Linked DNA regions of Alligator mississippiensis. The protein of the gene in region 1 interacts with the protein of each later gene in a biochemical or structural test. Links are inferred from orthologs where the notes say so. Each region holds a gene or a part of one and is shown on either strand. Other genes may lie near its edges.

What was found.
Region 2: of the proteins of CUL2 (region 1) and DCUN1D3, one has a biochemical effect on the other in vitro, tested with the Homo sapiens proteins (2 studies listed by BioGRID, with this or other methods). The link is inferred for Alligator mississippiensis from reciprocal best matches to the Homo sapiens genes CUL2 and DCUN1D3.

The regions. Positions count from the first base shown.
Region 1 is NC_081828.1:195,034,533-195,038,863, reverse strand, and holds the start of CUL2 (cullin-2), read left to right. Parts: upstream 1-1,514; 5' UTR 1,515-1,662; intron 1,663-1,942; exon of another isoform or gene 1,943-1,960; intron 1,961-2,038; exon of another isoform or gene 2,039-2,121; intron 2,122-4,331.
Region 2 is NC_081836.1:46,087,718-46,092,048, forward strand, and holds the start of DCUN1D3 (DCN1-like protein 3), read right to left. Parts: upstream 2,800-4,331; 5' UTR 2,710-2,799; intron 2,666-2,709; exon of another isoform or gene 2,568-2,665; intron 1,649-2,567; exon of another isoform or gene 1,192-1,648; intron 1-1,191. UniProt on the Homo sapiens protein: Contributes to the neddylation of all cullins by transferring NEDD8 from N-terminally acetylated NEDD8-conjugating E2s enzyme to different cullin C-terminal domain-RBX complexes and may play a role in the cell cycle progression by regulating the SCF ubiquitin E3 ligase complex, after UV damage.

The sequences.
Region 1 (4,331 bases):
GGTTGATGGTAGACTGATGGAAAGTTTAGATGATGGGTTGTATGGCATGGTTTGGATAGGGATGATCCTGCCTTAGGCTGGGGGCTGGACTAGGTAACCTCTGGAGGTCCCTTCCAGCCCCACTTACTCTGATTCTGGGAAGAGTTTGCAACATATGAAGAGTAGGGAGAGAGAGGAGTCCCTGGTGGGGGTGGTGGGTGGTATGAAGCTGTGAGAATTCCCTGGACAACAAAATATTCCGAATCCTGTGGAAATGTGAAGCTAAGGGTCTAGTTTAATTGCACATGGGTTTTTTTCTTTCATAAGGGTGCAGGGGGCATGAACCTAGATTCTTCACCTATGTGCAAACTGCAAGCTTGTTTTATTTTCTGTCTCAGTCCTTAGCTCACAGGAGCTGGAAACATGCCTGGTCTAGAAAGGCAAGGCATTGGGGGAGTTGCTTGCAGTGTGAACCGAGGGGATGGGCAGCAGAGGTGGATGCAGATGCTGGTAAGAGACACCATCCTGCCTTCAAGTGCCCTTGGCATATGGCTGTGGCAGGTTGGGTGTTGGGCTGACCATGCTGGTGCGTGTATGGCAAATGCCCATGGGGTGGATGGCAGGTGCCTGCCAGTTGCTTCTAGTGGGGATCAGCCCTAGCTGGGCAACTCCTAGCCCGCATTTACCTGCTGAGGGGGTTTCTTCCTATGTCCCAGCTGGAGCAGTGACATGAGCACTGTATCCCAGGCCACTGTGGCACCAGGCCGGCTAATCCCAGATGAACTAAGCCCAGTGTTGCCAGGTCTTAAATATTTAATAATTGTATTGGAAGCTCAAAATGACTGTATTTGCTGAAAAACTATGAAAATATGCAAATATGCCTTTTTATTTACTTTATATTGCTCACTACAAGTCCCAGCGCATGAGTGAAAAGTGGGTCAAAGTTGAAGCATTTCTTTATTTCAAGGCAACCGGTCATAAGGAAGTGCTAGCAGCAATCCCCAAAGTCAGCTAAGCCCCCTGAGAGGAGTGATTTGGGTTTTGCATATGCTGCATCAGTGAGCTAGCTGCCTCAAAAATTATGACAATCAGGACTCGTAGTAGAGATGGTATCTTGTATTAGACCAACGAGATTTTTGCAAAAAAAAAAAAATCTTTAATTTTTTGCAAACACCTTGTTGGTCTAATAAAAGATATCATCTCTACTACAAATCCTGATTGCCTTTTCCTGTAGATCAATACGACTACAACCTGGATACCTACAAAATTATGATGCGTCTTGAACACTTCTACCGCTACCCATCGCGTGCCAGCCACGGGCTGAAATGACAGCCCACCCCACAACACCGACCCAGCAGCTACTAGCAGGACTCGCGCAGGCGCAGACCACGACACGGAGACCAGCGGCGCATACGCAGGGTGGAGGGCCTGCATGACCTACGCGTCCGCGGGGTGGCGGTGCTGCGCATGTGCAGGCGGCCGCGGCTCTGCCCCGTGACGCCGGCCTACAGGAAGAGGAATTATTTATTTATTTTGCGGCAACGGAAGTCGGGATGAATTTGGGCCCTCCGCGCTCGCCGTAGTGCGGCCTGTACTAAGCCCCTCTCTGCGCGGGGGGGGGCGAGTCCTCGCCCGGCCCGTTCCCTCTCGCCCCGGCCGCTGTCGGGGGGAGCCCGGCGGGCGGTGAGTAGCGGCTCCGGTAGCCGCGGGGACGGGAATGCGTGGAGCCGGGCGGGCGCGGGGCAGCGGCCGGTGATGGCAGCGCGGTGAGGAGGGAGCGGGGCAGGGACCGGCAGCGGCGGGGCCGGCGGCCTTCGCACTTGCGCCCCTGCTGCCGGCGGAGGGGCCTGCGCGGGGACCCCCGGCTCCGCCCGGCCAGGCCCGGCCACTTTCGCTTTCGCCTGGGAGTGGCGGGTGCCTCGGAGCGGGGCTCCCGCCTACGGGAGGAGCAGCCCGGGCGACGCCGGATGCCGCTTTCCCGGTAGGGGAGGCCGCTGCGCCGCATCTCCGCGCCTCGGGCCTAGTCGGGAAGTTTTGTTTGGACTCCTGCTTCCCGCTCCGGAGCCTGTGAAGCACTTGAGCCAAGGCGCAGGCCTGCAGCTTTGCTGACCTTGGGCACGACCAGAAAAGGGGCCGTCTCAGGTTGGCGTCTTGTGGCACCGTCTGGTTTAGATGTACCCAGAGAGGGTGGGTGGCAGCCACAATCCTCCGCCTCCTGCCCGGCCACGGGAGCGGGTAGAGCCGACCGGGAACACTTCAGTGGACCATGCTTGTACAATAAGTGCTGAGGCAGGGCTTCCCGAACTTGTTTTTCCTCAGCATGACCCCATGCATGGCCTCTTGCTCCCAACCCACAGCCCCCACCCCCGGGGTCCCAATTTAGAGTCGCAACCCACAGTTTGGGAACTGCTGTGTTAGGGATCCTTAGTGAGCTTGTAGACAGAGCCAAGATTTCTGTTTAAGCCTTATCTGAAAGCATCCCCAAGTTTTCTAGTGTAACTATGTTACATAGAGATGATTTATTAACTCCTTTTTATTTGTTGTAAAAGACTAGCTTTACTAAAGTACATGTTTGTATATATTTTTATTAGAATTAACCTTTTTTGGAATATTCTAATATTATAAAAACCTAAGAGGGGCAATTGGCTAGTATACTTACAAAATTCTTCCTCTAATTACTTGCAACTTGTGTCCCTCTTTTGGCACCTCGTGTTACTGTCATGTAGAAAATACAGTATTCCTGGATTCCTGAAGCTATTTTTCTTTGACACTATTAATGCTTGTAGTAGAAATGCAATGGTTAGAATGTTTCTAAGTACTAATGGATCATTTCTATTTCTTGATTAAAAACAACAATTAATACTAACACAAGCTTTATTCCTGTTTTATAGAACCTCGTAAAGCACCTTGATGTCACTGCCAAGTTGTGACATGATATGAATATGTAGAGAGGTAGTAGTAAAGTTAGTTTATGCTCAAGAAAGTTCATGCATCTCTGATTTGGTTAGCCAATAGAGTGCATCTCTACTCTGCCTTCTGCGATCATATGGAGGCCATGGATGTTATTGATTTTACTCTTCGATCTGGATTTATGCTTGTGTAAAAAGAAGACTTTTTGATTCCTGAACTGGAGAAACTTAGTTTCATTCAGTTAGTTACCCTGAGTTTGTTTAAAAAAAAACCAAAACCAAGCAAACATATAATATTATTACTTACAAACAGTAGGAGAGTTTTACAATTTAAAAAGGTAATTAAATACATAGGTTTACAATTTCATTTGCATAAATCCACCTGCACGGATTCCCCACTGAGTCCAGAGAGTTTCTGCACAGGACTGCACGATCCGTTTTAGGATCAAAACCTTAATTATAGCTATAAAATTATAATTATGTAGTTGGATGTTTCTCCATTGGACTGTTAAGCAATCCACAATTCTTAGGAGATTGGTTGTGTGTTCCTTCAGTCTTGTACAGGAGGTATCCACTTCTTTAAAATTCTCTGTTACTAGGTGTTTCCCTGTTTTGTATGTCTTTCTGATCTTGCATTTCTAGGCAGAGTTGCTTCCTATCTTCAGAAGATTAACTACTTATTTCCACCTTTTGTTTAGTACATCTTACATCAGGGGCAGGCAATTATTCTGGGTGGAGGATCGCTTACTGAGTTTTGACAAGACATCAAGGGCCGCATGACAGGCAGCCGGGGCAGATAAATATTAATTTTCTAAATTTTTTAGGGGTCCCACAGGCCGGATAGAAGTGCCTGGCGGGATGCATCTGGACCACGGGCTGCATTTTGCTCACCCCTGTCTTGCATAGTCTCCAGACAGGACTATTCTTGTGTGTGCAGTGTTTGTTCAGCATAATAGGGCTATTTTTATGTGTCATGTAGGCATAATGGTGATACAGTCTTCTCTGGTTTTATTGTCAGTCTTTGTCCCTTCTTGTCCCTCTAAATTGCTTGTTACCTCTTTCCTATTTTGTGTCACTTCAAAAACAAAACAAACAAAGACAAGAAAATCCTAGATAAATCCTCTGGGGTGTGATAAAAGCTTACTTTGCTGAGTTGTTTTGCTCCTCCATAGAAGGAGCAGCAATTTCCCACAGACCTCCTAATTCCTAATACTTGATACTTGGTAACCTTCTGAACAGTGGTACCTGTCTTCCTGGCTCTGGAGCCAGTTTCTTCTAGTCATTGGAAGAAACTTTTGCTTTGGTTTACACTTAGTTCACCTTTTTAGAACTTTTTCTTTTCAACTCTACGTCAGACTCTTGTATCAGAGCTTAAATTAGACAAGTATAATCAGTTTCCACATGCAAACAATTCCTGTTTTATTTTTTTATGACTAGCTTTCA
Region 2 (4,331 bases), on another chromosome or scaffold:
AGAATGAAAGTGACCTTCAGTTTCACTACTACCACAAGGCTCGCAACTACGGTAATGAAACCACCCAATACCTCCCACCAGCAGCAGAAAAACCACCCAATACCTCCCACCAGCAGCAGAAAAACCACCCAGACTACAGCAGTTTGGGATAGCTCTGAGGGGCAGCAGGCATCTTGATAGCATTTGCAGATATGAGAAAAAAGCAACGTACACCAAATTCACACCTGGCTCTCCTCACAGCCAGGAAGGGCTGAATCATTTTCATCTACAAAATAAAAGCCAAGAACATTCCCATCTCTCCCTTATTCCCCTCCCATCCCAACACACAGAACACATTGTGCAGGACTGAGGTCTATCTTTCCCGTGGACACACAAGGGAGATCTCCTTTTTTCATCATCACTGATGCATACACCAGAGGTCATTCTGTGTCCCTTTGTATTACAGGCCAGTGAGATAGTCTGACAGCCTCTCTCCCTGGAACACTCCCTCTTTAAGGAAGCTATTTTCCCCCTCCGTTTACAGAAGTAGCTGCTTTACACCACATGGTCAAGTCTACCCTCTAGTTCTCCTATTGATCTTGTTACTGTCCTTTACGTTTAAATGCTCAGTGCCACAGTCGGCAAGATGCAATTGATAACACCAAAAGTTACTCACACACACCCATCCACCTCCCAAGCTCTTTAAAGCAAGACAGCATGGAATAGGAGACAAATTAAGTAACTACTATGAAAGTCACCAGATGCAGTTCCTGAGATCTACAGGCAAATTACAGATGATATTGAAGGTTTATCAGGTCTCAAGATAAAATGGATTACCAGAACATCAAGCTGAGCTGTCAAAGAATATTAGGGCTGTAAGTACACTCTTAATGATGTAGTAATCTTTAAATAGATTTATGGACAGCAAATTCTATAGCAGCACTAACTGCCATGAAATTATTAGAATTTAGAAGACTTCAACTGAACTTCTTCACAAGTTTCTAACCAGAATTAAATGTACTTTGTCAACAAGGATCTAACAATCTGCTTTTCTACACCTTCCTCTCACCTATGAAAATACTTTGTTTCAAACCTCAAGTTGTCTTTTGTTTAGGGAGCTGTAAAAGCTCTTCACAGACAATTAAACACCCTGTGAAATAAGTAACTGTCCATTTAAGATGAGGCAAAGCAAGGTAGAGCCAAGAACAGAACCTGTCTCATGGTTCCCAGTCTTCATTTTAGTCAAAAGACCTTCCTTCCTCTCCCAATAAGCACCTCACAGTAGCACCTGGAAAACAAGCAGAAAGGCTGCAGCAAAGACTTTATGACAATGTAGAATCAAAAACACACAAAAGATTGTTTCTTTTCACAGCTAGCCCAAAATCCAATACCAAAAACCTAGTGGTCACTTATTAACTTAATTAGATACGGGAAGGTTCTCAGTCAAATATGGGAAGCCTGCATTAGACAAGATACCTTCAGCTTGTGCTTAGCAATTTTTTCTCCCCAAACTTGGGGAATGAATAAGGAAGACAGAATGAAACTGACACTGAAAGATCGATCACAAGTCTTTCGGGACTCCTCAGAAAACACAACAGTGGCATAGCGTGAAGTTCTTCTGCAAGACAAGTGTGGAGTATCGGAACTTGATATTCAGAAACAAACTATCAAGATTATAAAATAAATAAATACATAAGCCTGCACTCCCACCGCAACTTAAAGAAGGAATGATTTAAACAAGTATTGGGGAAGAAGTGGCTCCCCATGGAAATCCAGGGCACGAGCATTGTGTCCAGAGCATCAGGAGGCTCAGCTATACGACAAGACTCAGCCTCCCACCCTACCCTGCCCTCTCACAGCCGCAGCAGGAAAGAAACGTGCTTCCCAAGAAACATTTACTCAAGGCCAGACACAGGCATCAGCAAACCGGGCAGCTGCCCAGGGCCCAGACAGAAGGGAGGCTTGAAAGTGGTGAAAATAATCATTATCATCATTATTATCTGTGGCAAAGGGGAGCCCAATACTAAAAATTTGCCCAGAGCCGCCAGGAGTCTAGGCACGGTGCTGCACTTACTACAAATGCCTAGTCCGGCCGCGCTCTCAGCCAGGTCCGTAAGCCCACAAGATGGGGTGGGGGTGCACCCCGAGGCTCCCATTAAAGCCCTCGCAGGCCGGGAAGGGAGCCCACAGCGCTGGCGGCCACAGAAGCAAGTTTGAGGACAAGCAGCAACTTCACGCCCCGGGCGCGAGCGAGGGACACGAGGGGCACGGACACGCGCGGGGATCCTGGCAGCCAGGAGAGCAGAGCCCGCGCCAGGACCCCCGAGGGATCCTGACGAGGCCAGGCCGGCACGGGGCACCCCGGCGGGGACCGCATCACCCCCCGGGGCCCTGGCAGCAGCTCTGGGGTAGGCGCCCTCCGGGGTCGGGGAGCGTGGGGGAGGAGGGGGTGCAGCCGGGGGCGCCAGAGAGAAGGGGGCCGTGCGGGGTCGCAGGGCGGGCGGCCCCGGCCCCGAGGGGGGACAGCGCCCCGGGCCCTAACGGGAGATCTCCCCTCCACCCCCGCCCCGGCTCCTCCACACACGCACAAGCTACTCGAGCGCCCGGGCCGGGCTCTCCAGGACGACTCCGGTGCCTCAGGCCCCCGGGGTCGGGGCGCCTCCCGGCCCGGCCCCCCACAGGCAGCGCCCCCTGAAGCGGACGGGAAGAGACACGGTCCAATTCACTCACCCTCCGCGGCTCCCAGCGATACTCCAGCTTGCCTTCCCCCCTCCCTCCCTGCCTCTGCATCACTTCCGGGGATGAGGAGTCAGCTGGCGGCGCGCGGCGGTGTGACGCCGGGGAGCGTGCAGACGTCCCTGACGCCACACGTACAGCGAGGGCAGGAAAAGGGCAGACAACCACCGCCGGCTGTGGTAGGGGGAACCGGGCTTGGCCGGGCCGAACCACTGCTCAAGGAAGGGGGGGAACGTGAAAGAGGGTTACATCGCGCTTGATCCTGGAGGTAAAGTGGGAGAAGGGAAGGAGAGACACCCAGTGGGTGCTGAGCAGCAGTGAGAAAGGGCAAAATGAGAGATGGGGGGGACGCGCGGGAACACTCCCCCTCCCCATCCGCGCACGTTGGTAGCGGCCCGCCCGGGAGAGCCTTTCGCTAGGCTGCCCGGGCATCTGGCGCGTGGGGCTGGACATGCGCAGAGTGGGCGCTCGACGTCGCCAGGCCCCCACGGTCGGGCTCGGTTGGGTCTGCTTGTAGCTCCCCGCTCACGGCACGAAAAGCCATGGGGGGCGGCGGGCAGACAACCGTGGAGACACCGACTTGCCGTGTTTAGACTGAACCAAAGTGAAATCCACGTGGCCTTTTCCTGTGACCCTGTCCGAAACAAAACACCGCCCCTGCCCTGCAACACGTAAGTGGGTTCGTGCTCTGCTACCGGGTCCCGGCCCTCCGCCAAGTACAAGCAGTAACAAGCCCGAGGCGGAATCGATTCAGTCTGCACAACTTAGACTGTGTACGCGGCACCGATAAGCAACTGAACAGACGTTAACTGTTGACTCTGGGAACGCCTGCAGTGGCCGGGCGGGGGCGGGGGGGCACTGCAGCGCACCGCCCGGGAGCAGACCGCGCTGAGCCTGCCCACCCTGAGACGGGGAACTGGCTTGCAAGGTATGCTGGGGTCAGTGTTGCCAGATGTAGCGTAATTATCGTATTTGTACAATACTTTCAACCCTTGTAAGACAGATAATACTAAAAATGTTCAAAAGTCTATCACAATTGAGGCAGTTAATTGAGGCAGCATGTGCAAAACCCGGGTCACTCTCAGGGGGTCTTAACCAGCTTAAGAGTCTGGGTTACCAGAGTGTGGAACGTGCTCCCAAGGGAGGCGGTGCTCTCCCCTACCCCGGGGGGCTTTAAGAGGAGACTGGACAAGTACCTGGCTGGGGTCATCTGACCCGGGGGCAAGGGGGCGGACTCGATGATCTTCCCTTCCGACCCTACAAATCTATGAAATCTATTGAACTTTCGGGTTCGCTGTCCGTGCTTTCTTCCAACCACTTGCCTCAAAACAAAGAAACACTTCAAGGTTGATGATGACCCAGTTCTCACTGGTTTTGAATTGGGATTTGACAGGGACTAAAGTGAGGATGAGCAATACTTGCTATTTATCTTTAACTGGAGACTTATGGTGGGTAACTGTATAACGACCATATAACTAAATCTCAATGTGTGATAATACTAAGAGCTTTATTTTAAATGTTACATACAGTCTTAAATCAATAGGAAATTAAAGGGGTTTTGTGCTCGCCTTGTTCGTAAATTGCAGGCGTGTACCCAATACAGTAAGTTGCAAAAT